Linked DNA regions of Canis lupus familiaris. The protein of the gene in region 3 interacts with the protein of the main gene of each other region in a pairwise test. Links are inferred from orthologs where the notes say so. Each region holds a gene or a part of one and is shown on either strand. Other genes may lie near its edges.

What was found.
Region 1: the proteins of CRY1 (region 3) and ARNTL interact in a two-hybrid assay, tested with the Homo sapiens proteins (3 studies listed by BioGRID, with this or other methods). The link is inferred for Canis lupus familiaris from reciprocal best matches to the Homo sapiens genes CRY1 and BMAL1.
Region 2: the proteins of CRY1 (region 3) and PER1 interact in binary tests that used the Homo sapiens proteins (3 or more experiments, as listed by UniProt). The link is inferred for Canis lupus familiaris from reciprocal best matches to the Homo sapiens genes CRY1 and PER1.

What each region holds. Positions count from the first base shown.
Region 1 is NC_049242.1:36,904,460-36,915,604, reverse strand, and holds part of ARNTL (aryl hydrocarbon receptor nuclear translocator-like protein 1), read right to left. Parts: intron 10,964-11,145; coding exon 10,806-10,963; intron 9,182-10,805; coding exon 9,102-9,181; intron 4,666-9,101; coding exon 4,573-4,665; intron 3,163-4,572; coding exon 3,045-3,162; intron 1,321-3,044; coding exon 1,171-1,320; intron 1-1,170. UniProt on the Homo sapiens protein: Transcriptional activator which forms a core component of the circadian clock.
Region 2 is NC_049226.1:33,160,718-33,171,013, reverse strand, and holds the end of PER1 (period circadian protein homolog 1), read left to right. Parts: intron 1-81; coding exon 82-133; intron 134-270; coding exon 271-413; intron 414-800; coding exon 801-879; intron 880-956; coding exon 957-1,063; intron 1,064-1,218; coding exon 1,219-1,372; intron 1,373-1,460; coding exon 1,461-1,569; intron 1,570-1,663; coding exon 1,664-1,795; intron 1,796-2,022; coding exon 2,023-2,128; intron 2,129-2,232; coding exon 2,233-2,404; intron 2,405-2,489; coding exon 2,490-2,620; intron 2,621-2,832; coding exon 2,833-3,009; intron 3,010-3,434; coding exon 3,435-3,677; intron 3,678-4,593; coding exon 4,594-5,204; intron 5,205-5,630; coding exon 5,631-5,817; intron 5,818-5,988; coding exon 5,989-6,178; intron 6,179-6,469; coding exon 6,470-6,620; intron 6,621-6,978; coding exon 6,979-7,266; 3' UTR 7,267-7,876; downstream 7,877-10,296. UniProt on the Homo sapiens protein: Transcriptional repressor which forms a core component of the circadian clock.
Region 3 is NC_049231.1:32,823,109-32,834,253, reverse strand, and holds part of CRY1 (cryptochrome-1), read right to left. Parts: intron 10,483-11,145; coding exon 10,298-10,482; intron 9,921-10,297; coding exon 9,832-9,920; intron 9,269-9,831; coding exon 9,128-9,268; intron 9,047-9,127; coding exon 8,735-9,046; intron 7,167-8,734; coding exon 7,015-7,166; intron 6,779-7,014; coding exon 6,576-6,778; intron 6,471-6,575; coding exon 6,375-6,470; intron 140-6,374; coding exon 68-139; intron 1-67.

The DNA.
Region 1 (11,145 bases), on a different chromosome or scaffold from region 3:
GTTTTAAGTAGGGAACCAAAGACAGGTTTGCTTTAAAAAGATCATTCTGGCTGCTGTGTGGAGAGAAGGCAAGTGTGAGGAGCCTACTCCACCGGCCGCGGTGAGAGCGGCGGGTAGCCCGGGTCTGAGGGATGCGGTCAACGGGGAGGTAGGTGGATAAGCGCAGTCGGATAACTTCTGTAGGGGGTTCATGGTGGCAGGACTTTGCACCTGACCGGACTGGAAGAGGGAGTGAAGCGGGCTGAGGGCGCCTCTCCAGCTCCCAGGATGTGCAGCCAGGTGCTGTGGTGCCATTTACATCAGGGAGGAGCTCGGTGGTCACTTCCGCACAGATCAGGTTTGAGGTGCCCTTGAGAGGGCTGAGCAGATAGATTTAAGAAGCCGACTTACGGATCTGCAGCTCAAAAGAAAAACCTGGGCCAGAAATAGAAACTTGGAAGCCACCGGCATGGAAGTGGCACCGCAAACCAAGGGAGAAGACATGGCCTACGGATCACGTGTAGATAGAAAGGTGGCACAGGACAGACGAGGAGCCAGCAAAAGGAGGTGGGGAGGAGGCCTAGAGTGGCAGAGGATGGGGGAGACGAGAAGTAGGAGGTTTCATGGAATCCTAGGGGAAAAAAATACTTTAAGATGGAAGAAAAATGAAGTGTCCGTTGTGTTCGGCAACATGGAAGTCATTGGTGGATGCGGCAAGAGTAATTTCGGCGGGCAGCGGGATGCTCGGAGGCGGCGGGCATCGTGGCTCAGGGTGTTCCTTCTCAACCACATGGAAACAAAATTTAAACGGAGGAAGCTTTCCCACGAGTCTCTGTCACTGTGACAACCGTCGGGGCTTTCCAATCGCCCCTGCTCCCCAACGGCCCTACCCTGTAGGGGACAACGGCCCCCGGGACCTGCAGGGGACCACTGAGCCAACACCGTGCTGAGCGCTCCCGTGCACCGAGCCAGCCTCGCCTGTATCAGGATTTTCTTATTTTATTTTAAAAGATTTTATTTATTTTCTTGACAGCAAGAGAGAAGAGACGGCGTGGGAGGGAGAGGGGATCCGAAGCAGACTCCACCCTGGGCGCAGAGCCCCATGCGCGGCTCGACCCCACGACCGCGAGCTCGCGACCCGGGCCGCCCCGGTGGCCCTACAGGAAGACCGTGAAGAAGTGAAATGGTTACCTTTTTTCTTTGAACAGGTAGAGGGGAAGTCCTTGTCTTCCACCTTTACTGAAGGCCTGTTACACTTCATCCTACAGAAGAAAGAACGTCGTGCTCCAGAACATAATCGAGATGGCCCAGGGGTTATATCTGTTTTAACTGGAAGTCCAGCTGCAAATCAATACACAAAATGTGATAAACTGAGAGTAGTATTGTCTGTCAGGAGGGGGAGAGTGACCTTGAAGAAAGCCTCCTCTTTCCTGCCTCACTGCCTCATACCGACCATTCCTCCTCACTGACGCCTGAAAGACGCAACGCGGGTGAGCGGGCTGTCAATCTGGAAAGGTTTCCAGATCTCCTAGAAAGCAGCTACCGGTAGGAGCGGGACTGCGATCCTGCTGCGAACACTGGCTACTGGTCTGCAGACTGTCCGGGGATAACGAGCGCCCACCGTGGGAGAAGCCAGAGAGGGGGCCACTGCCGGGGCTGCTCCTGGACGTCACCCCTCCAACCTACCTCCCACAGGGCCTCCCGGCTGAGCCTCCCTGGAATGCACACGGCCCCCTCCCCGCTCCTTTTCACCCTAGCACACAGTGGGGATGCGTCTCCATCCTGAGATCCTCCCCCCACCCCTACCCCCCCGCCGCTCTGTTCTTCTCTTTATCACCTGGTGCACCCACCGCGACTCCTCCTTTCAGACCCACCCCAGCCGTCACCTCCTCGGGGATGCCTGTCCTCGGGTCCACATGAAAACGAGTCCTCTGTTCTCTCTGCTTGGCACTATTTCTATGGAGGTACCTATCACGTGGGGTGCTGGCCCCAGGTCTCCTCGACTGTATGGCACAAGCCTTAAAGGCAAGGACCAAACATCACCTCCTTTTTCTCTTCGTGTCACTACCAAAAATTGCCAGGGCCAGACTAGAAAAGGCAACAGGGACCGGGGGCCACGTTGAAGTTTTCGGAAGAGGAGTGCCTTAATGAAAAGGATGGTTTAAAGGAGGTCTCTCTGGGGACGTTTCCCTCTGGGGACTGACATGGGGGAGCGTGCAAGCAGGAAACTTGGGCCATGACCACACTGGCCGGTGAGCTCGCGGCACTGACCCCGTGCCCACTGTGTGCCAGGAGCTGCCCCATGTGCTTTATGTATAGTGATATAGTTAATCCTCGCAACCACCCCACGAAACCGGTACTATTTTGTAGATAAGGAAACGGAGGCACAGAGAGGTTAAGTAACTTGCTCAAGGTCACAGCTGACAAACGGTAGAGCCAGGAAGTGAGCCTGGCAACCAGACTCCAGGCTCCACGCTCCTAACTGCCGGAGCACACAGACTCCCCGGATGGGAGAGCCTGATGGGGGAAGACCTACAGGGCCTCACGCAGGAGGGACGGGGAGGGGGGACACGGGTGAGAGAAGCGGTGGGGGGGGAACGTGAAGCCAGGAGGGGGCCCCAACTAATGAGGAACCACTTTGGCCAAAGAAACTTCCAATTTATATTTCAAGTTTTCTTACTTTTATCTTAGGAGGCTGCATGAGTGTAACTCGAGTAAATAGAGGGAATTTTTTCAGGGGGCACAAATCAAACTGGTGTGAGCCCTTTAAACTCAGGGGCACACAACTGGGAATTTATAGATTCTGGGGGAGGGGGGGCGAGTCTAAAACCCAGAAAGAATCAAAATAGCTGTTTTTCCTCCCTGTGGATTTGGACATTACGTAAAGCAAAACAAATACGAAGGTAGGTGGATAACCGCATTGAGCCCGGGAGAGCACGTGTGACCCAGGTAAGGGGCAGAGAGGAGGGAGGCCGGGGGCTGAGCGCATCGGCACACGCTGCGGTCCTCGCTCAGCCGTGCGGGCGGGCCCCGAGGAAGCAGCCGCGGCCTGCTCCTGGACTCACTTTTTGCATCTATGAGCCGCTCCCGGGGCGCCGTGTCCGAGGAGGAGAGCTGCTCCTTCACTTTGGCGATATCTTTAGGGTGCAGGTAGTCAAACAGACTCTGACCGATCAGATCGTTCTGTGGGGAGGAAGCGTGGAAACCACACGTCAACAGCACGTGGAATACAACTTCGCCAACAGGCGCTCTGCGTTTTAGTTTGTATTTCTAGGCATGGGAATTTCAAATATGTCCAGTGTGAACAAGTAACCTGTCCAATCGCTGTGCCTAGGGACACACAGGACAGGGAGCGAGGCATCGGGACTTTGGTGTCCGTGACACAGGAGGGGGAAGGGCGTATATTTATACTTCTATAAATAGTTCACGCTCCTCGAAGGCAGGAGTCTTTCAGCTGTACGTGTTCCCTGTTATTTATTCCGGATGCCACAAGTGCCCTGCTAGGAGCACAGGGTGTGGGCGGGGACTCTAGCCCCACTGAGCCCTCGTGGTGTTGTGTCACACCGTGTGCCTCCACGGCCTTGTGTGGCAGCAGGGAAAATAAGAACTGCCTTCATAACTTTGCCCCAAGACCAAGAAGAGCAAGACACTCTGGATACATTCAACTTACATTCATTCTAGTTCACACAAATATCCTTTTGATTCTTCAATTCTGCTGCCTTACCAGCTTCCCATGCAAACACCAGCAGGTGAAGGAATGAGTGAATAAGTGGATGCATGGGTGGATACGTGAATAAGAATGCTAGGGACAGAGTGTCCCTGCTTAAAAAACTTTGCTCTAGAAGCTTCTGGGCATGCTTATCTTACTGCATCCTATGAACAATCATAAAAGGTATTATTACACTCTTTTTTTTTTTTTTTATTTTTAGAAGGAGCCGAGATTCAATAGAACGAAAAAGGGATACATCATCACAAACACAGTATGGGTGGATCCCCATTGTTTCATTCTCTGGTTATCATCTGCCTTTCCTGGTCAGGTAGCCCCTTGCCTCGTGCCTCCCCCGCTCTCTCTAGCTGCGGGATATTCACTGTGCAGCAATAAGAAAGTATAAAGCTGCTGATGAGATCACAGTCAAACCTTCCAGTGAGGGAAGCATAGAACACATACTAAAAAGATTTTTTCTAGGGGCACCCCGGTGGCTCAGTCGGTTAAGTGTCCAACTTTTGATTTTGGCTCAGGTCATGATCCCAGGGTCATGAGACTGAGCCCCATATCAGGCTCGGCACTGATTGCAGGCTGCTTAAGATTCTCTTTCCTTCTGCCCCTTCCTGCCATGCATTCTCTCTCTCTAAAAAAAATACATAAAACTTAAAAAAAAAATTTTTTTTTCTAGGTTTAAATTTACTTCTCTGTTAAGAAATTACAAATTTTCTGGAAGAAGCATTGGGTATGTGTGTGTGTGTGTGGGGGGGGGAGTTATAATATAAGCCTTTTATGTGTGGCTTGTATATTATAATTATTCTAAAAAGTGGGGTGACCTTTCTGGCAGCCGTGAGGCTGCCCACCACCAACAGAAGCATAAGCAATAATACCTGGCTGTAGTTGAGGATCTTGAAGACAGACTCTGAGACGAAGAGTATCTTCCCTCGGTCACATCCTACGACAAACAAAAATCCATCTGCTGCCTAATCAGGAGAAATGGATAATCAATTTACCGCACTTTAGGAAACACGGTTTGTAATCACTCTGATAGCAACTAAGGATTTGTCTGCTAAGTATCCAAAGCACAGAACTGTACTCATCGAGTTTCACAAGCATCCTGAGCCCAGGACGCTCAAAAGGAACGCCTCATGAGAAGAAGAAGATTCTCTCAAAGGCAGGTATGGACATTTGGATCATCATCGTCGTCGTCGTCATACGGGGGACGGTCCAACGGAAGCAATTTCAGTTACAACACTGAATTCATTTTAAGAATTTTCCTTGGAGTATATCAAGGTCTGGAAATGTCCTGTTTTATTTTGTTACTTGTAACTATGTAGAATCATAGAATCTGAGATCGAAAGGAGCCCTTACATCAAAACCCCCTCCCGATATCCCGGCCACCCTGGCCCTCAGCCTGAACACTGCCATTTACGGAGCGCTCTCTCCGATGGTTCTCAACAGCTGGAGCGGCGCGTTGTGTGTTTGTGCTGCTGCTGTTTTCGCGCTGATGGCCTGGGGTGGGGCTGGGTCAGGAGTATCGTTCTCACCCCCACCCCAAATGATTCTAATGTACACAGGATGGAGAACTACTGCTCTCAAAGATCATTTCTGGATCCGGGGCTGGGCTGCCTACATCCTAAGTAAGGCAAGCAAAGCAAAGCAAAACTTTCCCCTCCGTTCTCTTTCCTTCTCCTTCACTTTAAATGCAGGTAAAACATCTCAAGTCCCAGGAAAGGCAGATACGGAGACAGGATGCTATTTGTTAGACTGAAGCGGATAAATACCAAAGCTGCAGAGTCTGAGAGCTGCAGCTCGTGGGGTCTAGGTGCACGTGAACCCTACACCCAGGGCTCTGAGGACGGACAACCGCTCGGCTCCAGCCGGGGGCCTCCCAGGGATGCGGAGGGTGCTCCACGCTCGGTCACGTGCTTGCTTTCAGGCTCAGCAAACACAGTTCTAATCTTGCTTTATTCACCAGTCCTCAGTCTGTTCTTTGGAAAAATCTAGAGAAACCCAATTCCCTTTTCCACAGAGGGGCCTCTGGGGATGTAATTTAATTCAAAGAACTAAGAAATGAATTCGTGTGCCAGAGGCAAAATAATGGCACAGGCACCTGTGCAGACAGGAAAGCAGTAGGAGGGGAACCACTGCGCTGAGAAGGCGCCAGGCCCCTCAGCCAGAAGGGAGCTGGGGCCGCTCCCTCCCTAAGCTGGCCCCCTAAGCTGGCACAGGGCAGGGGAGGACAGTGGAGAGGAAGAGACTTTCCAAGCACCATCTGCTGGAAGCCTCGTTCTGTCAAAAAATAGGGTATTAATAACTTGCGCACCACCTTGCAGACAGTCTCACATCTAACACGAGAAGTGTCTTGAGGCTTTCGTTGGTGCAGGGAAGCAGCACAAAAGGTAGGTGACTCGGAAGAGGTGCCTGCGACATCCTGGAGGGAATGCTGAACCCCTGATGGGAACAAAGTGGGTTGCAACCCATCCAGGGCGAGAGAGTGAGCTCCCGTCAGCCTATAGGGAAGGCTCCAAACATCCTGACTCTGTTTCCCCCGGGCAGATAAACACCACCAGGTGAAGGAGCCAGGGCCTAGGGGCCACCTGACAAGTGGAGATGGGTGGGGTGCCGTGGGCACACGGCGCCGCAGAAGACAGGGCAGGCTCCCTGGCGAGGGAGGACGGGGTTAGCGGGGGAGGCAGGCCAAAGCTCTGGGGGCGCCTGCCTAGTTTTCAGAACACGGGAGGTGGAGCACCCAGGCTGGCCCTGACACGCCACTTGCCAAAGCCATTTGAAAGCTCTTGGTGGAGAAGTCAGACCTGCACTGGTGAGGAAAAGCACAAGTCCAGTTCCCGCTGCCCACCCCTCCAACACCACCTGAGCGGCCCCCGCCGTCTGTGCACAAAAGTTCTGGGAAGTGGACTCCCGGAATGGCAAGGGATTAGATGGTGCCTCATGGCCACAGGCAGGTGCCAGGGGTGGGGCAGGGGACAGAGAGGTTTCATCGGGGGAGACCCAGCACCACTGATGCTGCAGGATGCAGAAGCACAGGAAAGGCAAGCCTGAGATGAAGTATTTAGCTTAAACGGCATGAAAATCCTTGGTCCATACCCTGGCAAGTGTGGGCATGTGACAGGAAATTCAGAAAAGTAGGAGCAAGTTATTAAACATTTGCTGTTGCAAAGGGAGCTTCTTTATATATTACATGTAGATCTATAAAGATACATACAGAGAGAAACCTATAGAGAACACAGGCTTCGTACACTTTATAGGTGTTCAAAACCAAACCCGTTTGTGTATATACACACATTCATTTTTTTCCCCTAAAGACATCCAATCAGCAGTACGGCAATCAGGCCCTGTCCCGGGATTGCGGGGCCCAGTGCAGAATGGATATGCAGAGGCCCTGGTTCAAAAGTCAGGATCTTCCAGACAGCAAGAGCAGGACATTAAAACAAGCGCTGGGCCCCGTGTGGCTGCGTAGGGTGCGTGCCCATGAAGCCAGCCCTGGTGGTTTCTCCAGAGCTGCTGCCGACACAGTTAGTAGCTTAACTGCAGCAGGTCCTCCCTGAGGACCGGGCCAGCCTTATGAAAGGAGGATGGAGAGGGCAGTGCAGAGCTGCGTCAGAGTAACTGTGCCCTGGCAGAGGTGGCCCAAGGACCATCCCAAACTTGCTGGGACACCCCCCCCCCCCCGCCCCCAACGTGTTTATTGTGGACTTGGATTTTCCAAGGGCCGTGCATACAGAACTAAGTCTCAAAAACGAAAGACACACCAGGCCTGCCTGTGGGATCTACCTATCGCAAGCAGCTTCGAAGGATCACTAATGACCACCTGGAACATAGGGCCACCCAATAAATAGACTTTGGTAGAAACAGAAGTTCAAAAAACCCAAGTGCACCTATACAGGATGGACAAAACCTGACCTAACAATAATCCATGTACAGGAATGGGAGGGATGGTATCACAGTGGCCCAAAACGTGGCACTAATAGGATGGCTTCTGTGGCAAGGAAGGCACCAGGCCCATGCCATCCCAGGCCAACCAGACCACAGCTGACGCTCTGTACTGGGTGGTGAGAGCCACTTTCGGAGGAAAATCTAGCAAATGGCTGTGGCTCTGGAAAGTGTGTGTGGCAAATGCTGATGGGGGACCCTCGCCTGCCTCTACTATGATGGCGGGAAAAATCTAAATCCTTGCCCTGAAGCTAGGGGTCATCAGGTAACATCTTCTGGAGAAGCTGACATCTACAATCGGGCTTTCAGGAAGGCACAGCTTTTCTTGAGAAGAGGGACAGCTGGGCTAGACACTGCGCTGCCCCTTGTGTCTGGCTGGCGTGGCTACACTGAGGAAGCAAGCTGTACACTAGCTCAGCAGGACTGTTCTCGAAGACAGGAAGAGCCTGGTTCTGGCCGCCCTCACGGAGCCACCACCCCCTCATGGCCTACCCCAGGACCAGCTATATTTGGGAAACAAAACCCCATTTGTTCATCAGGTCATCTGTTCCTTGCAGCTGAAAGCTTTCCAATTAAGATAACACGCGAGGCAGGGATGGGTAGAGAATGCTGGAGTGAGCACACAGGCCAGACGTACAGAGGACCGGAAGCCCGGCAGAGCTGAAAGTCAGGGTGACAACAGAGTGGGCCTGGTGTCCCAAGGCCTGGCAAATGTCTGCTCAAGAGAGGTGCCCAGATACTGTAGGAGCTTAGCAAGCAAGGTCCACCCTGGCTGTGGGGGGAAGGAGGCTGGTATAGTTCCCTTCAGTTAGGTTTTTCTGTTTTTCTTTTTATAGTTTACAAGAGGACAGGTTTCTGAATCCTGTTTCTTTCCCTTCGATTTCCAAGTTGATCTCACTCTACCCAGAGGCAGACCCAATCCCACACGGAAGCCAAGTTTGCATGGCGCCACCTCGACGGCCTCTCCGCAGAGAGGAGCAAGATGAAGTGAGCGCTACGGCCAGGAGGGGAGAGCCTCGCATCCCCCATTTCTTTTCCTCCTTGGCAAGAGGAGTCTTTGGAAGCTTTGTTGCTTTGATGGGGTTTTGGCGGAAGAGTAGATGTGGATGTTTTTGCGCCAGCGGTTAAGTGAGAAGACGACAAATGCTCAATTATCGGTGTCCATCCTTTTCTAAAGCCTTCATGCGGGAATGGGATTCTTCACTACCTATTTTTGACAAAATCCTGCATCCTTCTATTTAAAAACCACAGTAGCCTGGGCCTTCCATTTTTGTCTAAGCAAGCGTGGAAGGGGAGGAGGAAGACCTCAGGGAAAGAATGTGAAGACTGTCCAGACAGAGGTGGAGACCCAAAAGACGAGGGGCCTCAGAAGGTCCAAAGGTTAGACATCAAATTCCCACAGGCTGGTACCTCACCCAGAAATTCATAAAAGTGTGTACAAAACAAGCTCGTAATTGCGACATACCCTGAGAATGAGGTGTTTCAATTCATCATCTGACAGGAAAGTCGGCTTATAATTTGCTTCTGTGTATGGATTGGTGGCACCTTAGGGAGAAGAAAAGAGAAAGAGTTGGTCCACTTTCTATTCAGGTAACGTCTCATTCCACTTCACCGCCTCCACCCTTCCAGATGCGGCCTGGCCCCTGCCACCTGGAACTTCAATCTTACTTTCTTTTTCCTTAACAGAGACAGGGCTAGATCGGGCCTCGGACAGAAGCCATTGAAAAAACAACACTGTTGCCCACAGGGGACCTAGCGAGTTTGCTCTGGCCACTGGAGGGGAGCCAAGAGGTAATAGACAGAAGGAAAAATCTGTTTCAAAGAGAGAAGGCAGCACCGGAAGCCAAGCGGCAGAGGGTCCTGGGAGGATTCCCTCCTCCCAAGATTGACATTAAATGGGTTGACCAGCAGTCCCTCAAATCGTCACGCTGAGCCTTCCTGGGAAATCATCCAGGCTGCCAGGCCCTGAGTAAATAAATACATTGTAGACGGCGTTTGGTGGGAGTGCTTCTTCATCGGACGAGGCAAATGAGCTTGGCAACCCAGAGAAATGCATCACTTAAGTGACTACAGCTCTGGGTCCTCGGGCTGAGAGGGGACAAGATGCTTAAAAGGCCGTCAGTCTGGCATCGCATCGGAGAACAGTAAGAGAAAAATGCCAGCAGCAAATGACCTGGAATCCGCAAAAACAGAACAGTGAAGAAATAAAACAGAAAAGGTCCATGATTCACAGCACACGGGGAAGGAGGGTGACAGATGTGCCTGGGACTTTCACATCAACTAACCAGGCACAGGCTGAGCCACATCCCGGCTTTTTATGACTCGAGATGTGTCACTCGTTTCCTTCCAACTTAATAAAAGTTAGCTTGTAATAACCTAATCTCTATCACCTTCACTAAGAGGAAATTCTAGTGGACACGACGCAGACAGGTCTGAATGGGGATCGCAAGTCAGACAAAACCGGCGACTGTGCCCTTCTGGTGGCTTTGTGGAAACACGAAGACACAATCCTTGTAGCACGCGGGTCAGAGGTCTGAGCGGACTGAGCACCCACTTTCCAGTTCCCTCCGAGGGTCCGAGGCCCCACCGGAGCGCCACTTCCACCTTCCTGCCCCGCGTGCTCGCCCGCCCCGTGCTCGGAGAGGAAGGAAGACGCTGCCTCCCTCGTGAAGACTCTATCTGGTTTGGGAATGTTCCAGGAACATGAAAATACCATCAGTGTTCATCCCTGACAGTAAAATGCAGCAAGAACCATCAGCCGGTGACTCACTCCTTAAAGGAGCCATGGTGAATTTTCCTCTGAAAGACAGGAAGGGACCCCCCCACCGGCATCCCTAGGTGCACCCGTCCTTCTGACAGCCGGCACCCAGGCCACCCTACATGCAAGATGTGTGGCCCCCTCGGCTACACACGGCACCCGAGGATCACAGGCACGTGCAGACACGAGCATGCATCACAGCCTCTACCCCCTGGGCAGGAGGAACGGCTGCAAAACCCCAACCGGACCCCATGTAAGCTCAGTGATCACCCCACGTGGCACCAGGCCTGTTGCTCAAGGCTGCACATTTGTCAACTGACACACACTGTACTGGGGACTCAGGCACAACTGAGGCGAGGGAGGCAACATGTGCGGACAAGGTCACAAAGAAGATGAAGCCCGAGGTCTCACCTCGTAACGTCTTCATGTGCTGAACGGCCATCCTCAGCACGGTAAGCTTATCTAACTTCCTGGACATGGCGTTGCACGTGGGCACCAGGGAAGCCAACTCATCAATGAAACTGTTCATTTTATCCCGACGCCTCTTCTCAATCTGACTGTGAGCTTCCCTGCACAACAAGGGGAAAAACGATTTCTATAAAATGAGGCCGAGCCTCAGGGAAACGACGACAAAAATAAGCCGTAACTGGTTTTGACATTTCCCCTGACAGGCCACCTTTACAACGTGCACCAGGTTTTGAACTAGACTTTTTGACTAGTCACCAAAATAGTGGCCTCCCTGCCAGGGGTC
Region 2 (10,296 bases), on a different chromosome or scaffold from region 3:
CAGCGTTTCCTGGCTGGGTGCTTTTCAGCCCAGGGTGAGGTTGGCAGGGGTCATTCTTAGTGCTTTTCTGGTCTGTTCCAGGTTCGGGCCTCAAGGACTTCACCCAGGAGAAGTCTGTCTTCTGCCGTATCAGGTAGCTGGGGGAAGTGGGAGCGGAACCCCTCCCACCCTCCGCTCCCTGCCTCTTTGCTGCGTGGGCGGTGGCCTTGAGGTGAAGGGTGGGTGGCCCTCCACGGAGAGTCACTAATGCCTCTTTCTCTCCCTTGGTAGAGGAGGTCCTGACCGGGATTCAGGGCCTCGGTACCAGCCATTCCGCCTAACGCCATATGTGACCAAGATCCGGGTCTCAGACGGGGCGCCTGCACAGCCATGCTGCCTGCTCATCGCTGAGCGCATCCACTCGGGTTATGAAGGTATGTGGGCATCAGGCCTGGCCTAGTAGGAGGCAGGGTGACTTCCCTGGGCTATGGGTGAAGTCTCCATCCTTCAGAATTTTGGGACAGAGAAGGTACCGGAAGGAAGAAGGTTTGAGGCCGTTTTTAGAGGGTTTGAGGCCGTTTTTAGAGGGAACATTGGACGAGCACCAGGAGCTAGGAGCTGGGAAAGGAGTATGCTTTGATCTTCAGGTTCACTCTGGGTGTGGAGTAGGGGAATTCTCCAGACCCTCTTTGTAGGCTACACAGCCCCGGGCTGAGCTGTGGGGAGGATTGCCAGCCAGCTTGAGCCCTAGGTGGCATGGGCGGGCAGGGAAGCTGGACCCTTCTGGAGAGAACCCAATGGCCACGTTTGCTGTGCCTCAGCTCCCCGGATCCCCCCTGACAAAAGGATCTTCACCACTCGGCATACACCCAGCTGCCTCTTCCAGGATGTGGATGAAAGGTGAGCTCAGGACCTGGAAGAAAATGGGGTGGCCAGGGCTGAGGCCATGGCCACTCTGATGCCACCTCCCTTTTCAGGGCTGCCCCACTGCTGGGCTACCTCCCCCAGGACCTCTTGGGAGCTCCAGTGCTCCTGTTCTTGCATCCCGAGGACCGACCCCTCATGCTGGCCATCCATAAGAAGAGTGAGTTCTCTCTCTCCTGCTCTCCCTTCTCAGCTATCTGCAGGGCTTCTCGATGGCCATGCTTGTGGTTGTATCTTTCGGGGCCTTGGTCTCCCAGGTCCCCAGGGGGTGGTCCTCCGTCCTGCTGAACCTCACCTCATTTCCCACCCCTACAGTCCTGCAGTTGGCTGGTCAGCCCTTCGACCACTCCCCTATCCGTTTCTGCGCCCGCAATGGGGAGTATGTCACCATGGACACCAGTTGGGCCGGCTTCGTGCACCCTTGGAGCCGTAAGGTGGCCTTTGTCTTGGGCCGCCACAAAGTACGCACGTAAGTGGGCCATGCCCCAGGGCTGGCTCCATGGGCTGCGTCTCTGCAGGAGGGGGCAGGCCTCAGCTTACCCTCCCCCACCCCACAGGGCACCCCTGAATGAGGATGTGTTCACTCCCCCGGCCCCTAGCCCGGCTCTGTCTCTGGACTCTGATATCCAGGAGCTCTCGGAGCAGATCCACCGGTTGCTATTACAGGTGAATGTGGAGGGGTGGGGCTTGGAAATGAGGAGATGAGGTAGGGGTGGGGAGCAGGGCTGAGCCATCTAACCCGTTTGTCCTCCTGCCTCAGCCTGTGCACAGCCCCAGTCCCAGTGGGCTCTGTGGAGTGGGCCCCATCACTTCCCCAGGCCCTCTCCTCAGCCCTGGCTCCTCCAGTGATAGCAACGGGGGTGATGCCGAGGGGCCTGGGCCTCCTGCACCGGTGAGTGTCCCTCCTCCACTCCACCCTCCAGGCTTGCATTCCCCTGGTGCTCTCAGAACCATCATGGCCAGGCCCAGAGGAGCTCAGCCCCATCTCTCTGCCTTTTCCTTCTGGTCCTGCTCTCACCATGGCCTCCTCGCCTGCTCACTGGTACCTCTCGCTACTCTGTGCCCTGGGCTTCTGATGTTGGCTGGACGCTCCCAATGCTGGCCTGCTCTGTCGCACAGGTGACCTTTCAGCAGATCTGTAAGGATGTGCATCTGGTGAAGCACCAGGGCCAGCAACTTTTTATTGAGTCCCGTGCTCGGCCTATGCCCCGGCCCCGCCTCCCTGGTGAGTTGTTTGGGGTGTGGGTGAGGAGTGAGACCTGGAGGTTCCCTGACTTCCACCCCAACCCAGACAAACTTGTCTCTCTGTTTTCTCTGTCCTTGGCCCAGCTACAGGCATGTTCAAGGCCAAGACACTTTCTGGTCAGTTCCCGGACCCAGAACTGGAGATGGTCCCTGCTCCAGGCCCAGCCCCACTCACCTTGACCCCTGAGGAGGCTGAAAGGAAAGAAGCCTCCAGTTGTTCCTACCAGCAGATTAACTGCCTGGACAGCATCCTCAGGTGAGGCCACTGTGAAACCTCCCCACTCGGGCCCTGGCTCACCCCACCTCTAGCCCCACTCTCACCTCCTCTGCCGGCCCCACAGGTACCTGGAGAGCTGTAACATCCCTAGCACGACCAAGCGTAAATGTGCCTCCTCTTCCTCCTGCACCACCTCATCGGCCTCCGACGATGACAAGCAGAGGACGGGTCCAGTCCCTTTGGGGACCAAGAAAGGTAAAGACCTGGCGTGTGCCCTGCCCCTGCTGCCCTGTCCTGCTGGCTCTGTGTCTCTACACATCTGCCTTTGGGGCCCCCCACCTTCCTATACCCTGTCCCCCTCTGGGCCTTCAGATATGCAGACTCCTGCCTCCTGTCCATGCCCTCCACCCCTGCCAGATTTCTTCTTCAGATCTCCTGGGGGTAACTGGCACCATCTCTCTGCACAGATCCACCGGCAGTGCTGTCTGGGGAGGGGGCCAGCCTGCAGAAGGAGCCAGTGGTGGGAGGCGCCCTGAGCCCGCTCGCCCTGGCCAATAAGGCAGAGAGCGTGGTATCTGTCACCAGCCAGTGTAGCTTCAGCTCCACCATCGTCCATGTGGGAGACAAGAAGCCCCCGGAGTCGGGTATGGGCCTGGCGTCAATTCGCACACAGAGCCTAGGATGGGGGGGGGTTCAGGCGTCAGGTGCCTGCAGTGTTTGAGGGTAAGGGCTGTCGAAAACTCCCAGAGGGTCTTTGGGCATCATCATACATGTGAGGGAAGGGTGAAGGGTGGTGAGCTTTCCTTTGGAGGAGAGAGGAGAGGCATGGAGGTGTCACCCTAAGGCACTGTCACTGGAGGGGACTCTATTCTCTCTTGCTCAGGACCACTTTGCACAGAAATGAGGGCCCAGAACGGGTCCTCAGTGGGGAGGAGGTCAAGAGATGCACCTGGGCCCCGGCTTGGCCGTGGGGCAGTGGCCAGGGGTTGGCTGGGCCACTGAGGGGAGGCTGTGGTGTGGCTGCAGGAATGCCTGAGGTAATTCCAATGACCTGTCTCCCCTTTCTCAGACATCATCATGATGGAGGACCTGCCTGGCCTGGCTCCGGGCCCAGCCCCCAGCCCAGCCCCCAGCCCCACGGTAGCCCCTGACCCTGCCCCAGATGCCTACCGCCCAGTGGGCCTGACCAAGGCCGTGCTGTCCCTGCACACACAGAAGGAGGAGCAGGCCTTCCTCAGCCGCTTCCGAGACCTTGGCCGACTGCGGGCGTTCGACAGCTCTTCCCCGGCCCCCCTGGCCCCTGGCGAGCGAGGTAGCCATCCAGGATGTCCCTGAGCCTTGTCCTCTGCTCAGTCTAGGACCAGACTCTCGGGGGCCAGGGGGTGCTTGAGGGAGACAGTCCTGCTCCAGGGCCCTGGGCTTGTGCTGCCTCCATTGCCAGGGCCGGGCTTAGGGACAGGCCCCCAGCTGGCCTCTCCCCACAAGGCTGGGGTTCTGGGCTGCAGCCAGAGGAGGGCAGCCCTGAGGGGGGCTGGCACTGAGACAGGCAGGCAGAGTTGCTCTGCTCCAGGTAAGCAGTTTTAAGCCGAGTTTGGGGCCAGGGGCCAAAGGACGCCCTCCTATGACCAACTTGTCGCTGGTTAAGAGACCCATAGAGACTCCTGGTTGAAGTCAGGCCAGGCGAGCTGGGACACCTCCCGCTGGGGTTGGGGCTTCAAGGGCAGGATGTCAGCCCTCCAGGTGCCTGAGAGAGGCTCCCTGCAGGCGGACACAGGACCTGGGACTGGGCTTTCCCGCCCGCCTCATCGCTCGAGCTAGGCCGAGCGCGGCCTCGACGGGCAGGAGGAGCGCCCAGGCTGGCATTGCTGTGGGAGTTTGGCGGATGGACCGGAGCCGCCTGCCCCCTCATCCGCGGACCCGCCCTGCTTCCTCCCATCGGCCGACGTGCCCCCGTCTTCCGTACACCCCCAGCTCCCCACCACCTGTAACTTTTCCTCTCCTGGCTCCTTTTGCAATAAATCCCCGTGGCCCTGCCTCCTGTGATTCTTCCCTGAAGGTTCCCTCTCCTTCCCCAGGGTCCCTCCTTGTTCTGTGTGGCCCGGGGGCCGAGCTCTTCCTGGGGCCCTCTCCTGCCCTCACCCTGGTCGGAGTGGCAGGGCAGTGAGGGTGGCAGGGATGCCGACGGCCAGGTTGAGGCCCTTGCTGATAACCCTGGTCTCTCCCCACAGGCTGCCACCATGGCCCTGCTCCCCCCGGTCGCCGACACCACTGCCGATCCAAAGCCAAGCGGTCACGCCACCACCAGACCCCCCGGGCCGAAGCCCCCTGCTATGGCTCCCACCCGCCACCTGTGTCACCCTCCGCCCCCTGGCCCCCCCCACCTGCCACTACTCCCTTCCCGGCTGTCGTCCAGCCCTACCCTCTCCCGGTGTTCTCCCCTCGGGGAGGCTCCCAGTCTCTTGCCTCTGCCCCTACAGCTGGGCCCCCTGCAGCCTTCCCTGCCCCGCTCGTGACCCCAATGGTGGCCTTGGTGCTTCCTAACTATCTGTTCCCTACCCCGTCTGGCTACCCCTATGGGGTCCCCCAGACGCCTGCGGAAGGGCCTCCCACCCCTGCCTCCCACTCCCCTTCTCCGTCCCTGCCCCCACCACCCCCCAGCCCTCCCCGCCGGTCGGACTCGCCTCTGTTCAACTCGAGATGCAGCTCCCCGCTCCAGCTAAACCTGCTGCAGCTTGAGGAGCCCCCCCGTGTTGAGGGGGGTGCCACGGCGGGGGGCCCTGGGAGTAGTGCTGGGCCCCCGCCTCCCAGTGAGGAGACTGCTGAGCCAGAGGCCAGACTGGTGAGCACTGACCCCCTGCCCTGTGTCCTTTCACCAGCTCCCACTTAGCCCCCTTCCCTCCTTCTTCCTCCTCCTTGCACATGTCCCTGACCTGTGTCCTGTGTCTCACTGTCTCAGTCTCCAGAAGATGGTGTCGTAGGGTGGGAAACCCCAGCTAAATTTCTGAAGGAGGCAGAAATCCACTGCCTCATCTGTGGAGTGGGGACAGTCCTGTCTGACAGGTGGCGAGGACATCCCAGTAGCTTCTGAGAGCACTCCTGCCTCCTAGGAAGGGTCCGGCACCTCGTCCCTGCTCTTCCCCAGCTGGCCTTGCTGTCATGGGGTGGGAACAGGGAGCACTGGGCCCAGCCGTGTTCCCACCACCCCCCCAGCCAAAGGAAGCCTTGGTGTTGATCTCTTGATCCTGTCCTGTCCACCCCCCTCCAGGTGGAGGTGACAGAGTCCTCCAACCAGGACGCGCTGTCCGGCTCCAGTGACCTGCTGGAGTTGCTGCTGCAGGAGGACTCTCGATCTGGCACAGGCTCTGCTGCCTCGGGCTCCTTGGGCTCCGGCTTGGGCTCTGGGTCTGGCTTAGGCTCCCATGAGGGAGGAAGCACCTCAGCCAGCATCACACGTGAGTGCCCCTCTCCCTCCCCAAACGCCTGCACCTCAGGGCAGGGCAGTGGAACGGGAGGCCAGGCCCTCCTCCTGCAGGCCTGGGGGGCTGCAGACATGGCCTTGAGCAAGGGCTCACTGGTGGGTGCAGTGGCTTGATTCTGGTGGCTGCCCCCCCTTTGCTTCACAGGCAGCAGTCAGAGCAGCCACACGAGCAAGTACTTTGGCAGCATCGACTCTTCAGAGGCTGAAGCAGGGGCTGCTCAGGCCAGGGCTGAGCCTGGGGACCAGGTCATAAAGTACGTGCTCCAGGATCCCATCTGGCTGCTCATGGCCAACGCTGACCAGCGTGTCATGATGACCTACCAGGTGCCCTCCAGGTGAGGAGTGTTAGAGGCCCCCTCTGTCCACCTCCCAGTCCACCCTCACTTCCCACCGAATTTAGGGGGTTCTTTTCCCGGGCTGGCTCTGCCCTAGGCCTTCCCGCCCTGCCCCCTGCTCCTCGGAGCCCCACCATTAGTTCCTTTCAGAACAAATTTTCCTGGGTCTTGGAAGCCCTGAACTCCCTGAGCCCTGGTTGAGGGCAGGAGGCATGGGTGGGAAGAATAGTAGCCTTGTGGGCTCTGGTCCTGGCTCCTAGCCTCTACCGTCCAAACCCCCTCCCCGGGCAGGGACATGGCCACTGTGCTGAAGCAGGATCGGGAGCGGCTGCGGGCCATGCAGAAGCAGCAGCCTCGGTTTTCAGAGGACCAGCGCAGGGAACTGGGTGCTGTGCACTCCTGGGTCCGGAAGGGTCAGCTGCCTCGGGCCCTCGATGTGATGGTGAGAGACGATAGGATCGAGGCTGGGGGCTGATCCCCTCCTTGTCCTCGGGGGGCGGGGGGGGGGGGTTGATTCTGAAGGATGTTTGCTGCAGGGTTAGATAGCATTTAACCACACGAGTCTTTGTAGACCTTTTCTGGGCCAACGCTATGCAGATGGACACTGTCTTGTGGTGGGTTCTAGATAACAGGGTACAGTACACTTTCCCATCTTGTTGGCCCACATGCATGTGTGTAGACGAGTATATTTGTTTGGGAGGACATTCTGGGAAGTGCTCCTGGGCTGGGGGACACGAGGAGCTGGGGTGGCAGGTGAGCAGTGAGAATCCCTCCTGACTTCTCCCCTTTCTCCCTCCAAGGCCTGCGTGGACTGCGGTAGTAGCACCCAAGACCCCGGCCACCCCAATGACCCCCTCTTCTCAGAACTGGATGGACTGGGACTGGAGCCTATGGAGGAGGGTGGAGGCGAGGGCGGAGGCGAGGGTGGAGGTGAGGGTGGGGGTGGTGAGGGTGAGGGCGGAGAAGAGGCCCAGGCTCAAGCTGGGGCCAGAGTCTCCAGCTCTCAGGACCTGGCAATGGAGGAGGAGGAACAAGGGGGGAGCTCATCCAGTCCAGCCTTACCTGCCACAGAAAATGGCACCAGTTAGACCACATTTGGGGGCCCCCTCCGAGAGTGCATGAGAAGCTTCCTTCTCCCATGTTCCACCTCTCAGAACTCGGATGTGGCTGGACCAACCAATAGGAGACTGGCCTGGCTTCTCCCACTTAGGGGGCGGGACCCCCGCCAGCAGCCCAGGGTACAGGGGCTGCCAGGGCTTCTGAGGGGGCACAGGGTGGGATTCATAAACCCGGCCCAGAGAAGCCTCATTTCCCACCTCTGGTGAAGAGCCCTTCCTTCCCCTGGGCAAGGTTGCTGACAAGCTGCTGAAGTGGTCTCTCCAAGTCCCGGCTGAGCCCAGTCCCGGCTGAGCCCAGTCCCGGTCCCTGAGGGTTGGGGCTGCACTTATTTATTGGGGGGAGACAGCTCTCTCTCACCTCCTCCCTGGGTGGGAGGAGGAGGGCCTGAGGCCCAAACAGGACCCAGCGGTCCAAACCCCTAGCTGCTCCAGGGTGGGGGAGGTTGGTGGACCATGGAGTCCCTGGTGCTGCCCCTCAGGTGGGACCCAGGTGTTCTCAGCTGTACCCTCTACCGATGGCATTTGTGTTTTTGATATTGTGTCTTGTTATTTTTTAATACAAAGAGAGAAAAACAAACCACCCCGGCCTTTGTGGAATGAAATGTAGGGTTGGGGGGAGGTGTGGCCCCGCTTTCGTGTGTGTGTGTGTGCGCGCGCGCGCGCCCGCGCGCGCGCAGGGAGAGTGACCGCCCCCTGCCCTGGTACCCCCAGCCCTTGGCGCGGGGCACCCCTGCGGGCAGAAGGGCCTTGCCCTGCCTGTAGCATCTCCTCGGCCCCGGGCGGCTGGTGCCGTCGGGCTCGCCCGCAGAGAGGGGAGCCCGCCCGGCGTGCAGGGGCCCCGAAGCAGGTGAGGGTGCTGCTCTGGCACCGGATCCCACGCAGCAGAGGGCCCCGTCGACGGGGGCTATGGGGCGTCAGCTCACGTACCCACTCAACGCTCCGGTTGGCCCCCCGAGGTGTGGGGGACGGCCGGGGCAGAGCGTCAACCCTCCGGCTCGGACCTGGGAAGGGTGTGGGGAGGTCATGGAGACCCGCGGGACCCGCAGGAGCCATCGTCTTCAGGCTGCGTCTCATTTCCCGAGTACTCCGATAGCTCATCTACCTCCAGAGGCAAAGCGCCTTCCGCCGGCGCCGTGGCTTAGCTGGTTAAAGCGCCTGTCTAGTAAACAGGAGATCCTGGGTTCGAATCCCAGCGGTGCCTGGTTCCGTAAGAAGCAGTATATTATTGCTGCGAGAGCACCGCGCTTCCAACCCTCTCCAGAGCCTGTGGGTGGCCAGCGCCTTCCGGAAGATTCTTATTCTTCCCCAGCTGATCCCACTTTGAGCTGCCGCTCCGCGCACTTTTAGCGTGAATCCGGAGCCTGACACCCCACTTTGCTTCCAGGAACCGGGGTGACGCGGGCATCCCGCGTTCGAGGGCGTGGGGCCCGGGGCTCGGGCTCATTTTGCCGGGGCCGTGCCGGGGCGGTGCGCGCGGAGGGGGGGCGGGAGCACCGCGGCCCCGGCAGGGGAGGCGCGGGCGGTTGCAGGGGGAAGTGCGGGCCGCGGCGCACGCGCACAGCCGTCCCGGGCGGAGGGGCGGGGTCGGCGGGAGGCGGGCCCGTTGATAGGCAGCTATAGTGGCGCAGGCCCCAAGCCGCACGCGGCTGTGATGGCCGAGTGGTTAAGGCGTTGGACTCGAAATCCAATGGGGTCTCCCCGCGCAGGTTCGAATCCTGCTCACAGCGTGTGTACTTTTGGGAATGCGTGCGGAGGAGAAAGCTATTTGTTTTCCTAGTGCTGCCTTCCCCCCGGGGAGGAGGACGCCGCCCGTTCCTCGGAACCTCCCCCCGCCCCGCCCCCGCTACCAGCCCTTCAGCGCCCCTTTGCGGGCCCCACGCGCCGGTGTGCACCTCCTCTTACGGCTGTGCCTGAAAAAGGCACCTCACCACTAATTTGACTTCTTGTCTTCAACCGACTGGGGGTGTGTGTGTGTGTGTGTTCTCGGTGCTACTGGGCCATCGTATTGCATTCCCTTTACCTCCCCGCAAGTCTCCCTTTGACTGTTTCATCCCTTCTCCTTTCACCCTAGACCATGAGTCCATCCTTCCTCCCTCAGTCTCATTCCCTGTGTCAACTGAGAAAATAAGGCTTTCTGGATAGATGTCCCCTCGATACCCACAGTCGCACCTGCCTACCTACCTGGCTGCCTACCTGTTTGTGGTTCCACTCCGGTCCTTCCCCCTCAGGGGTGTGGGTGAGCCTTCCATCACCTAACCCAGGCACCCAGGCCCACCCCTAAGCTTCCTAGAGCTCCCATTCCCTGCCCCACAGGGGCTCAAGGACATTGCACCGTCACACTTTTCCTCTCTACTTGGATCACTTCCACCAGCCCGCACACATACCCAAAGGCATCCCGATTAGCAGGACACCAGAAGCTCTCCTGAAACTACACAATCCCCCTTCAGCTACCACTCTGTCTCTCTGTTCCCCTCTTCTGCAAAACCTGGTATAATATACCCACTCTCCCCCAATTCCATCTTCCCATTCTCCTCTGAACCCTCTCTAATCAGGTGCCTCCCCTACCCCATCCACCAAAGATGCTCTTGCTAAGGTTACCAAATGCCTATGTGTTGCTAAATCCATCGATCACTACTTACAGGTGCTTACTCTCCCCTTAGAAAGGCTCTCTTCACCTGCCCTCTGGGACACCCTAAGGCCTCTGATACTCCTTCAACATCATCAGCAGCTCATGCACAGACTCCTTTGCTGGTTGATCACCTTCTGATCTCTAAATGTCAGAGAGTGCCCAGGGTTCAGCTTCCCAACCTCTTCTCTATCTGTACTCACTCCCTTAACGATCTCTTTACGTATCAACTAATAATATATTAACACATCCAATATGTTCATCTTCAGCCCCACAACTCTTCCCTGAATTACAGATGCATATATACTACCATCTACTTATCATTCCCACTTGGATATCTAATATCATTTCTGTTTGTGATATCTGATCACAAA
Region 3 (11,145 bases):
TTTAAAAAATGTATATTTAAGATAGGAAAGGTACAAAGAACAGTATGCTCAAATGCTTCATTCTTACCTTGCTTTAATAGGTGAGTTTGCTGACTGTCTCCATGAGCATAGTGTAAAATACCACTCCCTTGAGAGCAACCTGTTAGTATTTAAAACACAGTAAAATTACTTAAATTCCAAGTCATATGTATTAAGACTACAAATTCATTTTTAAATAATTGTATTAAGGGCATTTATGCTTTTTAGGACTAAACCTCAATCCTTCACAGGAACCAAAATCACACGCCCAAATTAGGAAAATTTAAACTTAGGATCATAGAAATGTTGACTTTTGGTTCAAAGGCAGTATCACTAAAAATCTTTGTCTAAAAAACATTTCTTTACTGAATGACAATTAGACACTTGACCATGGAAGCAAAATATAGGGCAACAGTGAGATATATATCCTTTCACTTCTTGTCCCTCGATTCCACATTCAGTGCCTGGGCCAAAACATATGTCCTTGGAGATAAGTGAATAGGGTCTGCCAGATGAGAATTAAACAATTCAAAGCACACAAGGAGGAGGAAACACAATGTGGCAGTTACCTAGCCTAAGGAATTATATTAATCTTTCTAAAAAGAAATAATGTTATAGGAGAATGGGTTGACACAGATGGTAGGTGCTAGAGAAACATTTTTGTCAGTGTGTCTATATTATGGACAAATATGCACATTCTACCCACTAAGAAAAGTCACCTCATGGTTTGAACAAGGCAATCTACTTAATTTCATGCTCAAGTTCCTCTGGATAAAGGATTCAGCTTTTCAGGTACTCCAAATTGGGAAAGTGCATGCCCTGATCCGGGATGAGGTCTTTTACCACTGGAAAGGGATACCTCCATCATAAATAATTAGTATTCCCTGTTGATATTTTAAATCACGTGGTTTGTTTGTTTGTTTGTTTGTTTGTTTGAGGGGGAGGGGCAGAGGGAGAGAGAGAATCTTTTAAGCAGGCTCCATAACCAGGGTGGAGCAGATGTGGGGTTTGATCTAACTACCTTGAGATCATGACCTGAGCCAAATCAAGAGTCAGATGCTTAAGGTCACCTCTAATTAAACTAAAAACACTCAGTTCTTGGACTTGTAAGGTTGAAGGTCAGATTCTGGACTACAGCAAATTCACCACTGAATGGTGCTACTCCTAGTTTTATCATCAGACTTACCCTAATAGTGATACTTGCTGCCTTGCATTATTGTACAAGATTATTTAAAACTTCACATAACAGGGACACCTGGCTGGCTCAGCAGTTAAAGTGCCTGCCTTCAGCCCAGGGCGTGATCCTGGAGTCCCAGGATCGAGTCCCACGTCGGGCTCCCTGCATGGAGCCTGCTTCTCCCTCTGCCTGTGTCTCTGCCTCTCTCTCTCTTTGTTCTCTCATGAATAAATAAATAAAAATCTTTAAAAAAAATTAAAAACTTCACATAACAATGTGAATGTACTTAATTCCACTGAATTGTACATTTAAAATGGTTAAATGCTAAGTTTCATATTGCATATATTTTGCAATCATGGAAACTTCAACAGGGGTGCCTGGGTAGCTAAGTAGGTTGAGCACTGGACTCAGTTTCCGCTTGGGTCATGATCTCAGGATGGAGCCCTGAGTCAGGTTCCCCAATCAGCAGGGAGTCTGCTTGGGATTCTCTACCTCCTTCTCTCCCTCCCCCTGCTCTCTTTCTCTCTAAAATAAATAAATTTTTAAAAAGATTTTATTTTTTTATTCATAAGACACACACACACACACACACACACACACACACACACACACACAGAGGCAGAAATGCAGGCAGAGGGAGAAGCAGGCTTCCTGCAGAGAGCCCGATGAGGGACTTGATCCCAGACCCTGGGATCACGACCTAAGCCAAAGGCAGAGGCTCAACCACTGAGCCACCAAAGCGTCCCATAAATAAATATTTTTTAAAAAAGAAAGGAAATCTCAACAAATACACCTTATACATTAGTCACACTTATACATTTGTCAAGTGCTCCTTTATGCTACAGATTATACCAGGTACTAGGGATACAAATATTACTAAGCTGGGGTGGAGGCTGCTATGGCATACAGTGGGGATACCAAGGAAAGAAAAGTCAATTTTACTGGAAGAATCACAGAGATAGGCTAAATCACGGACTAGTCACCTCATTTTCTCAACTTCATTAATTTTATTCCACTTCCAGTTCTAAGACAAATAAGAATAATCTCATAAACAAAAAATACTGAGTGAAAGCAGCCACATACAAAAAAGAATACAAACAGCAGGACTCTATAAAGTTCAAAAACAGGCAAAAAAAATTATAGTATTAATCAGGAGTGATTAGTTTTGAAGATGAAAGGCAAATTAATAAGCTCAATAAATACATTCAGAATTTCCTTAAGATAGCATTTTATTCTTTACAGAGCTAAATAATAAGTACTCAGAATCTTCCTGTGTCTCTAAATTCATGAATATCTCAACTGCCTATTACTTTCCCATAAAAATACAATAAATTATATTTTCACAAGAATAACAGTATAAGAGACAATGAGTAAAGATCTTTGCTAGACCAACTGGCTTATGACTGGCTACTTAGAAAAATCAGAAATCCCCATATTCATTATGTCTTCAAAGACACTGCAGTAGTTAAATTTCAAATGCCAAGATTATATAAGATGGGAATTTTAGAATGAAAACAACTTTAAAAAACCCATATTTGTTGTTTTTAAAAAAATCCCACATTTTCTAAGGGCAAAAAGTTCATATGATCATACTCCTCTTATGTTACACTGTCCGTAGCACCAAGGGTTTTTCACTCATAAAATTCTAACTTAAAGATATTGTGGAGGGAAAACTGCACAGAAAAGATATTCAAAGGAAATATACCAAAATTTTTATAGTAACTGTCTTTACTGAATGGAATTGTGGGTGATTTTTTTCTTCTTTTCTATTTTTCTGAATTTCCGAAATTATATATAGTGAATAGTTTTTTTTTATTTTAATTTAATTTAATTTTTTTCTAAAGATTTTATTTATTTATTTATTCTTGAGAGACCGAGAGAGAGAGAGAGAGAGACTGGCAGAGACACAGGCAGAGGAAGAAGCAGGCTCCATGCAGGGAGCCCGATGTGGGACTCGATCCCTGGACTCCAGGATCACACCCTGGACCGAAGGCAGGCACTAAACCGCTGAGCCACCCAGGGATTCCCGTGAATAGTTTTTTTTAAAAGCAGTTCTGAGGTACAATTTACATAACATAAAATTCCTGTTTTAAGTATACAATTCAATAATTTTTAGTAACTTTACAGAGTTCTGTAATCATCAGGACAATCCAATTTTAGAACATTTTCATCCCAATTTGCATTCATTCTCATTCCTACCCCTATATCTAAATTAACCATTAACTTCCTTGGTTTATTTTGAAGATACACCTTTTCTAGATAGTTCATATAAATGGAATTGTGCAGTATGTGGTCTTTTATGTCTGGATTCTTTAACTTAATATTTTTGAGGTTTATCCATGTTGTAGTATGTACCAACATTTTATTCCTTCTTATTAATGAATATTCCATTGTGTGGATGTGCCATATTTTGACTATTATAAATAAAACTATCATAAACATTCTTCTGATTCTTACGTCTTTGTGTAGACATATATTTTCATTTTTTTTGAATAGATACTTAGGAATGGAATTTCTGGATTGTATGTTAAATTAATGTTTAGCTTGTAAGAAACTGCCAACCTGTTTCCCAAAGTGGCTGTACGATTTTACAGCCCATCTCTCAACAACATATGAGGGTTCCAGTCTCTTCACGTCCTCCACAACACTTTTTACGGTCTATCATGTTTTAGGCACTGGAGTGAGTTCAGGGTAACCAATTCACTCCAGTTTATCTGGGATTTTTCAAGTGTTAGCACTGCAAGTCCCAGGTCTCAGGAAGCCCCTCAATCCCAGGTAATCAGTGATAGTTGGTTACCCTAAGTGGGTATGAAATATCATCTCTTAGGGGTTTTAATTTGCATTTCCCTAATGACTAATAATGCTAATTACTATTTTTATTTTTTTTAAAGATTTATTCATTTTATTCAGCGAGAGAGAGAGACTGAGAGGCAGACACAGGCAGAGGGAGAAGCAGGCTCCATGCAGGGAGCCCGACATGGGACTTGATCCCAGGTCCCCAGGATCACACCCCAGGCTGCAGGCGGCGCCAAACCGCTGCGCCACTGGGGCTGCCCCGCTAATTACTATTTTTAATAGAAAAAAATTTTAAATAAAAACTAAAACATATTACTATCATAGATTGCGTTTTATCATAAGAACAACAATACTTCAAGTCATCTGTGTACAAGTCATAAAGAACCTTGCCCTTTGAGATACTGTAAAATAAAAGCCTACAAACAGGGTAAGTAGAGGGCATAAAGAAATATGCTACAGAAGTATCTAAATGTCCTTTCAAATGGAACAGAAACCAGAAGGGAGAGAAATGTTTAATCGCATAGTCCAAACCCTCAGGATCTTTCCATAATCACTCTCATTTCCAGGTCCACAATGCTCTCTCCTTCAGCTGCCTACCCAAATGCTACCCAACCCACCATCTTGCAAGAAAACTTCTGTAGTTCCTTAAGTGCTCAATGATCTTTTTTTTCCCCTATTGTATGTGGAAGCAGCATCTTACAATTTATAACTTTTTTCGCCTCATAGCACCTAATACAAAGTGTGTTACAGCCAACTATTTACATGATTAGAGTACTTCAGGATTTATTAATCCTATTATATCATAAAATACATGTGTATTTGTAAAGCAAAATTATTTCAATTTAACTTCCTACCATAATTAGTTTTTATGGTTAATTCCAAATAATAAATACAGATTTGAGTGGAACAAGAGGCAGTCTGTACCATCACCACCCATTAGTTGGGCACCTGATGCCTGTTGCTTCCTACCCTTCTGTTACCTGCCTACTATTTATGTGCTTCACAGAACTTCTGTCCCTCAAATTCATGTATGGACAGAGGAAGCAAGCTGTGAAGTGAACAAGAGATCTGACAAAACTACTAAATTGATATCTTACTGAAGTTCAAATTGTAGGAGACTCTCAGAAGAACACTTCTGAAGTATACTGCCATCACTGACAACTACTAGACATTCCAGTAAAAAAATGCTTGATCTTATAAAAGTACATATGGCATTACATTTGCAGGGGAGGCCCAATAAGGACTTTAGGACTAGTCAGATCTGGATCTGAATTTTACTTACTGTGGAATCATAGTTAATTTACCTAACCTTTCTTGGCTTATTTCCACCACCACCTCCCAGGTTATTGTGACAATGTGGCAAAAATCCCCTTGTACTGTGCACAAAGTAGATAGTTAAAATGAATGTTTTGTTCCTTTCTCCTTAATCTAATTGTTAGAGAATAAATATATGCTCTCAAAAGGATGGAGTGTATTTCTGAATCAGAAAGGCTCAATTTTTAAAATAAGTTTTATTCTTAATATCAATTTTAAACGTGACCTTTTTGGAAAAAAAATAAGCATCCCTCAAATGCTGCCTTGTTTGTAATCAAATTAATTACCATGATGCTATTTTTGTGTTTTTTTTTTTTAATTTTTTTATTTATTTATGATAGTCACACAGAGAGAAAGAGAGAGAGGCAGAGACACAGGCAGAGGGAGAAGCAGGCTCCATGCACCGGGAGCCCGATATGGGATTCGATCCCAGGTCTCCAGGATCGCGCCCTGGGCCAAAGGCAGGCGCCAAACCCCTGCGCCACCCAGGGATCCCCATGATGCTATTTTTGGTTAGAATCTTTGAAAACTGACACAATGATTCACCAGTATTTATTACCAATAAATACTGGCTTCTTGACGTTATTAATACACACATTAAGAATATATGTGGCAACCAAATATTTATCATATAGAAAACCACTATCAATCAGACTGTAAGGAAAAACTCGTGTGCAAAAAGACTAAAGACTATGCGTGTGTATGATAAATCTTTTGGCCATATTCACAGGACCACTGACCTTAACTAATAACCTTATACCTGATATGCACCTAACAAACTAAAAAATAATGAGCCTTCAGAAAATATAAGTTTCATTTTACCCTTAAAATTGCCCTCTTCATTCAGTTTGCAAGATCTTTACCTTGAGCTAAATTCTACTACACATAATGTTTTCCATCTCCCAAATATCACTAATGGAATGAGGGAGGGCGTGTGTGTGTGTGTGTGTGTGTGTGTGTGTGTGTCTGTACACATGTATGCAGAAAAAACATTACAGTGAGACTCAATAAAAATATATTTGATTATTAATCTCTTTATGTTAAGTATAGAAATTTCCTTTTCACTTACTTCCACTGCTGCTACAACCTGGAATATTTTCTCCAGGAGAATACCCCATGAGGCCTCCATTCCCATTAGGATTAGAAGGCACTGATGCAAGAAGACCTAAAGGGAAAAAAAACTCCTATTAAAATATGATCAAGATCAAATTCAAGGATAGGTACATAAACACCTGCCAAAGAAACAAACCAAAGGTAATTACTGACATACCCAGTCCTCTGTATCGTGAAAGCTGCTGGTAGATCTGCTTCATCCTCTCAATATTCAAACGGCTTGCCTCAGCATGATTCACCATTGGTTTAGGATAATTAACTCCTATCAAACATTTGGCTACCTTTTGGATACCTTCTGGTGCATTCCAGGGATCATAGATATATTTTGCAGGGAAACCTCTTAGGACAGGCAAATAACGCCTTTTGGGAGAAGGAAGAAAAACTATTAATAAAATAAACTACAAGCAAATTATAACAAACTTATTATTAGCTATGAATGACCAAAATCAAGTCAATACCATTTAATGATTTGTTTACCCATCTCCTCATCTCTGCTGCCCATGATGAGTGGAAAAAAACCTTAAGTGTTGCTTTAACATGAAACGTTCTTCCTGGATTAGTTATTCCAAACTGAGTAATAATCACCCTTGATTTACCTGATATAGTCTCCATTGGGATCTGTTCTCCTACCAAAACCAACAGGGCAATAGCAGTGAAAAAACTGTTGGAAAAAGGAACTACAAGACAGCCACATCCAACTTCCAGCATTTATGCTCCAATCTGCATCAAGCAATAATTCTTCAAATACCTTCAGAAGTAACAGTAACCAATTAGTTTGTACACATATAATTCTCAAAGCAAGCATTTTCCAGGACTCTGTAGATCAAAAGTCAAGGCAAAGAAAATCTAGCACAGAACTGTAAAATTGAACATTCCAATGTTAGCCTCCTTGTCAATGTTCTATTCTGTACTGAGTTATTTCAGGGAAAGAAAAATATCAGTAGTATAAGTGAATTTCTGAATAGAATTTATCTCTCTGGTCTTTGCAATGTTATTGGGAAGAGGATAAAATAATTACTCAAGCTACTGATTCAATTAAAAATGCAAGAAAAAAAGCAGTAAACACTTTCAAGAAAGCAAAGATGCTACCAAGTAAATAACTAACAAAAACTTAGAAGTTTGATATACTGGTCTACATACAGGGAGCACCCAAATATAAATGACCTTTAAAAATGCACTAGCGAAAAAAAAAAAAAATGCACTAGCAAAAAAGAAAAAAAAAAGGCACTAGCATTATAGAGTTTAAATTTGGAATTCCTTCAGCAAAAGGGAAACAGAATTAAAATGTCTTTTTATAAAGTCATTAAGTGTGTACTATATACATCTATCTACCTCATGTACAACTTTGTACTAAGAAATACAGGAGATGAAAAAAAAAAAAAGAGGATCAGAAATGGTCCTTGTGGGATGCCTGGGAGGCTCAGCGGTTGAGCATCTGCCTTTGGCTCAGGGCATGATCCCAGGTCCGGGGATCGAGTCCCACATCAGGCTCCCTGCAAGGAGCCTGCTTCTCTCTCGGCCTAGATTTCTGCCTGCCTCTCTCTCTCTCTCTCTCTCTCTCTCTCTCGAATAAATAAATAAATCTTTAAAAAAAAAAAAGGTCCCTGGATAGGGAAAATCTAATCCTATTATGTATGACCACAGGTTGATGTCACAAAATGCAGTATGCTTCACTTTACATAATAGATCACTAAAAAGTATAATGTTAAAGTGAGGCAAAATGTTACATAATTTTTATAATATAAATTCATTACTTCTAAGAATTCTTGGGCAAATCCATTTTTGTAACAGAAATGATCACTTATAAATATTTCATCTAATGAGTCCAGTGTGTTAAACCTTATAGTTCCCTTAATGGCCAGGCTGGTTCAGTCTCTGAAATGACTTTAGGTTCATCAAACCAGTTTTCTGGGGGTGCCTGGGTGGCTCAGTCAGTAAAATGTCTGCCTTCAGCTCATATCATGACCCTAGGGTCCTAGAATGGAGCCCACATCACGCTTCCTGCTCAGCAGGGAGCCTGCTTCTTTCTCTCCCTTTGCCACTCCCCCTGTTTATAGTTTCTTGCATTCCCTCTCAAATAAATAAATCAAATCTTAAAAAAAAAAAAATAAAACCAGTTTTCACCATTTTTCCTGTCTGAATACACCATTCTGCTCTCCAAGAGTATGCCTGTGTTAGGGAATTAAAATCTTTACCTGCTGAAAAAATTAGACTATAAATGAATCTAAATAATAGACAATTTCCAGGAATTGTCTTAATAAGGTATAGAGTCCTTCAAAATAAGACTGTGCTAACATTAGTTAGAAGAATACTCACCTTCATTCCTTCTTCCCAACTAATCCACAGGTCACCTCGGGTCAGGAAGCAAGCTACTGCATGTCTGGCTAAATGGTGAATCCAACCCTCCTGACGAAGCTGTGTCATGATGGCATCAATCCATGGAAAGCCTGTCCGGCCTTCTGCCCATTTTGCTAAAGCCTCGGGATTTTTATCCCAAGGAATCTGAACACAGATGGGGTTTCCTTCCATTTTATCAAAGCGTGGATTATTTGTTGCTGCTGTATAGAAAAATTCACGCCATAACAGTTGCCCATAAAGGGAAAGGGGAGGGGAACTATTCTTCTTCACCTAAGGTTAAAAAGCAAAGTATTATTATCAGCAATTTTTAAAGAAGTATTTTGAAAAATAAGCTTCAGTTTTAGACAATACCTTTTTGTAGAGATCTGTGAGTTTGAAGTAAAATAGTCGACATGACAAACAACCAAATCGGAGATAAGGACTGAGTCCAGTAGGGCTAGCGAGCAGGGAATTTGCATTCATTCGAGGTCTTTCAAAGTTTGCCACCCAAGCCTGAAAATACACAGAGAAAATTATGCTAACTAACTGCCTTTTCCATTTTAAAAGAGTGTTTAAAACAGACATATTTTTTAAAGGTTACACAGTTCTTGGAGATAAAATTTTATTTTCCCAGTCACAAACATGTTTTAATAACAAAACACAACAGAATAAATGTGAGCATTCTTCTGTTTCAGCCATCCTCGTGTAGCACATACTCATATGAAATAAATTATATTCAAATTCCTAACACCAAGCTGAGAGGACTTTCAACCTGTCTCCTTGACATTGAGGTAAAGGTGAAATAGAAGAATAGCTTCAAAGTTATGGTCATCAGATACCAGCTTACACAGAAAGAATAGAAGAGGTAGTACTGGTAGTAGATAAAGAGGAAATTGTCAGCAGAGGAGGAAAAAATATTCAAACAAAGAGATGGTTGTTAATTTTCAAACAATTAGGTTTATGCTATTTTAACTATTTTAATTCTTCTGTTTAACAGTCTATATATTGCTTTTAAAAAAGAGTGAATTTTTTTTTAAATGCCAGTTTGGAAATATAAGCATGATCTATAATTATACTTTTCTTTCCAAATGCCTTTCCAAACGTGTAAGTGCTTCAGTTTCTCCGCCTGGCCATACTGCAGAGGGCAAACCATCTGTATCAAAACCTAAAAAAAAAAAAAAAGAAACAGAAAAAAGAAAAAATATTCTTCTAGAACTAAAATAATTTTTATTGAACCATAATAATTGGGAAAAACTACTTTGCAGAAAAATTATGACAGTAGCATAAAAATGAACTGAGGGCCCTGGATAGGTCCTCACATATAAGGATATAACATGGTCTCTATTCTTTTGGACAAACATCTTAAGGTGATAATAGATCATATTTAGAAAACAAATAATGTACAAATTTATCACTTCTTTGCTTAAGAGTTTCTTTTAGACTTTTTTCTCCTTTCCCTTTTAAAGCAAAAACCTTATATGTTAAATTAGAAGTGAGATTTTCTGAGAGATTTATTAACTCTCAAACTTCATTTACACCTACCTAGTTCTTCCAGTGAAGGGACCCCATATTTCTCATCATGGTCATCAGACAGAGGAGTTGTGCACTTTTCTACTACTTCTGAAGTAATTGTCTCTACTGGTATCTCTAGTGGTTCCATTTTGCTGATGAGAGTCTGGAATCTTTTATATGTAAGAGGTGGTTGTCCACCATTGAGTTCGATGATCCTATTACAAAGTTAGTAAAATGCAAAAAAAACAAAAACAAAAACAAAAAACTTAGTAAAATGCAGTTAATATTAAAAAATGATAATATACTTTGTTGATAAGTTCTAAGAATGCTTAAGATCAGAAAACAAAATTAATTACTTAAGACTTCCAGGAGGATATAAACTTCTTATATGACCAGGAAACTTATTAAAATATCTAAAAATTATTCTCATTTTCTAGACATCTGTTGTGTGTCAAAAATATACAGCATGCGAATAACAAAACCTTAAGACAAAGGGTATTATTAAGCACCTATGAGTGATGGCTAAGTTAGCCTAAAGGCAATAACATAAAAGTTATATATATATATGAAAAGGTAAAAATATTACAACTCAGCTCAAAGAATCTCTTAATCATCAGTAAAAACTAAACCAGACCAATATTATACTGAAGGGCAATAAAGCAAGTATTACTAGGATTCTATAACTATAGAAATAATCAATTGCTACTTCCTGTTGTGCTCATCATGCCTTTGTTAAATTTGCCAGCATATATGTCTTATGAACATACTTTATATTTACTTCTGATCACTAAATGCCTCAATCAAGTCATACTAAAAAGAGGATTAGCTTTGCCAATCATAGTGTGCATTAGACACTACTCACGAATAACTAATTATTC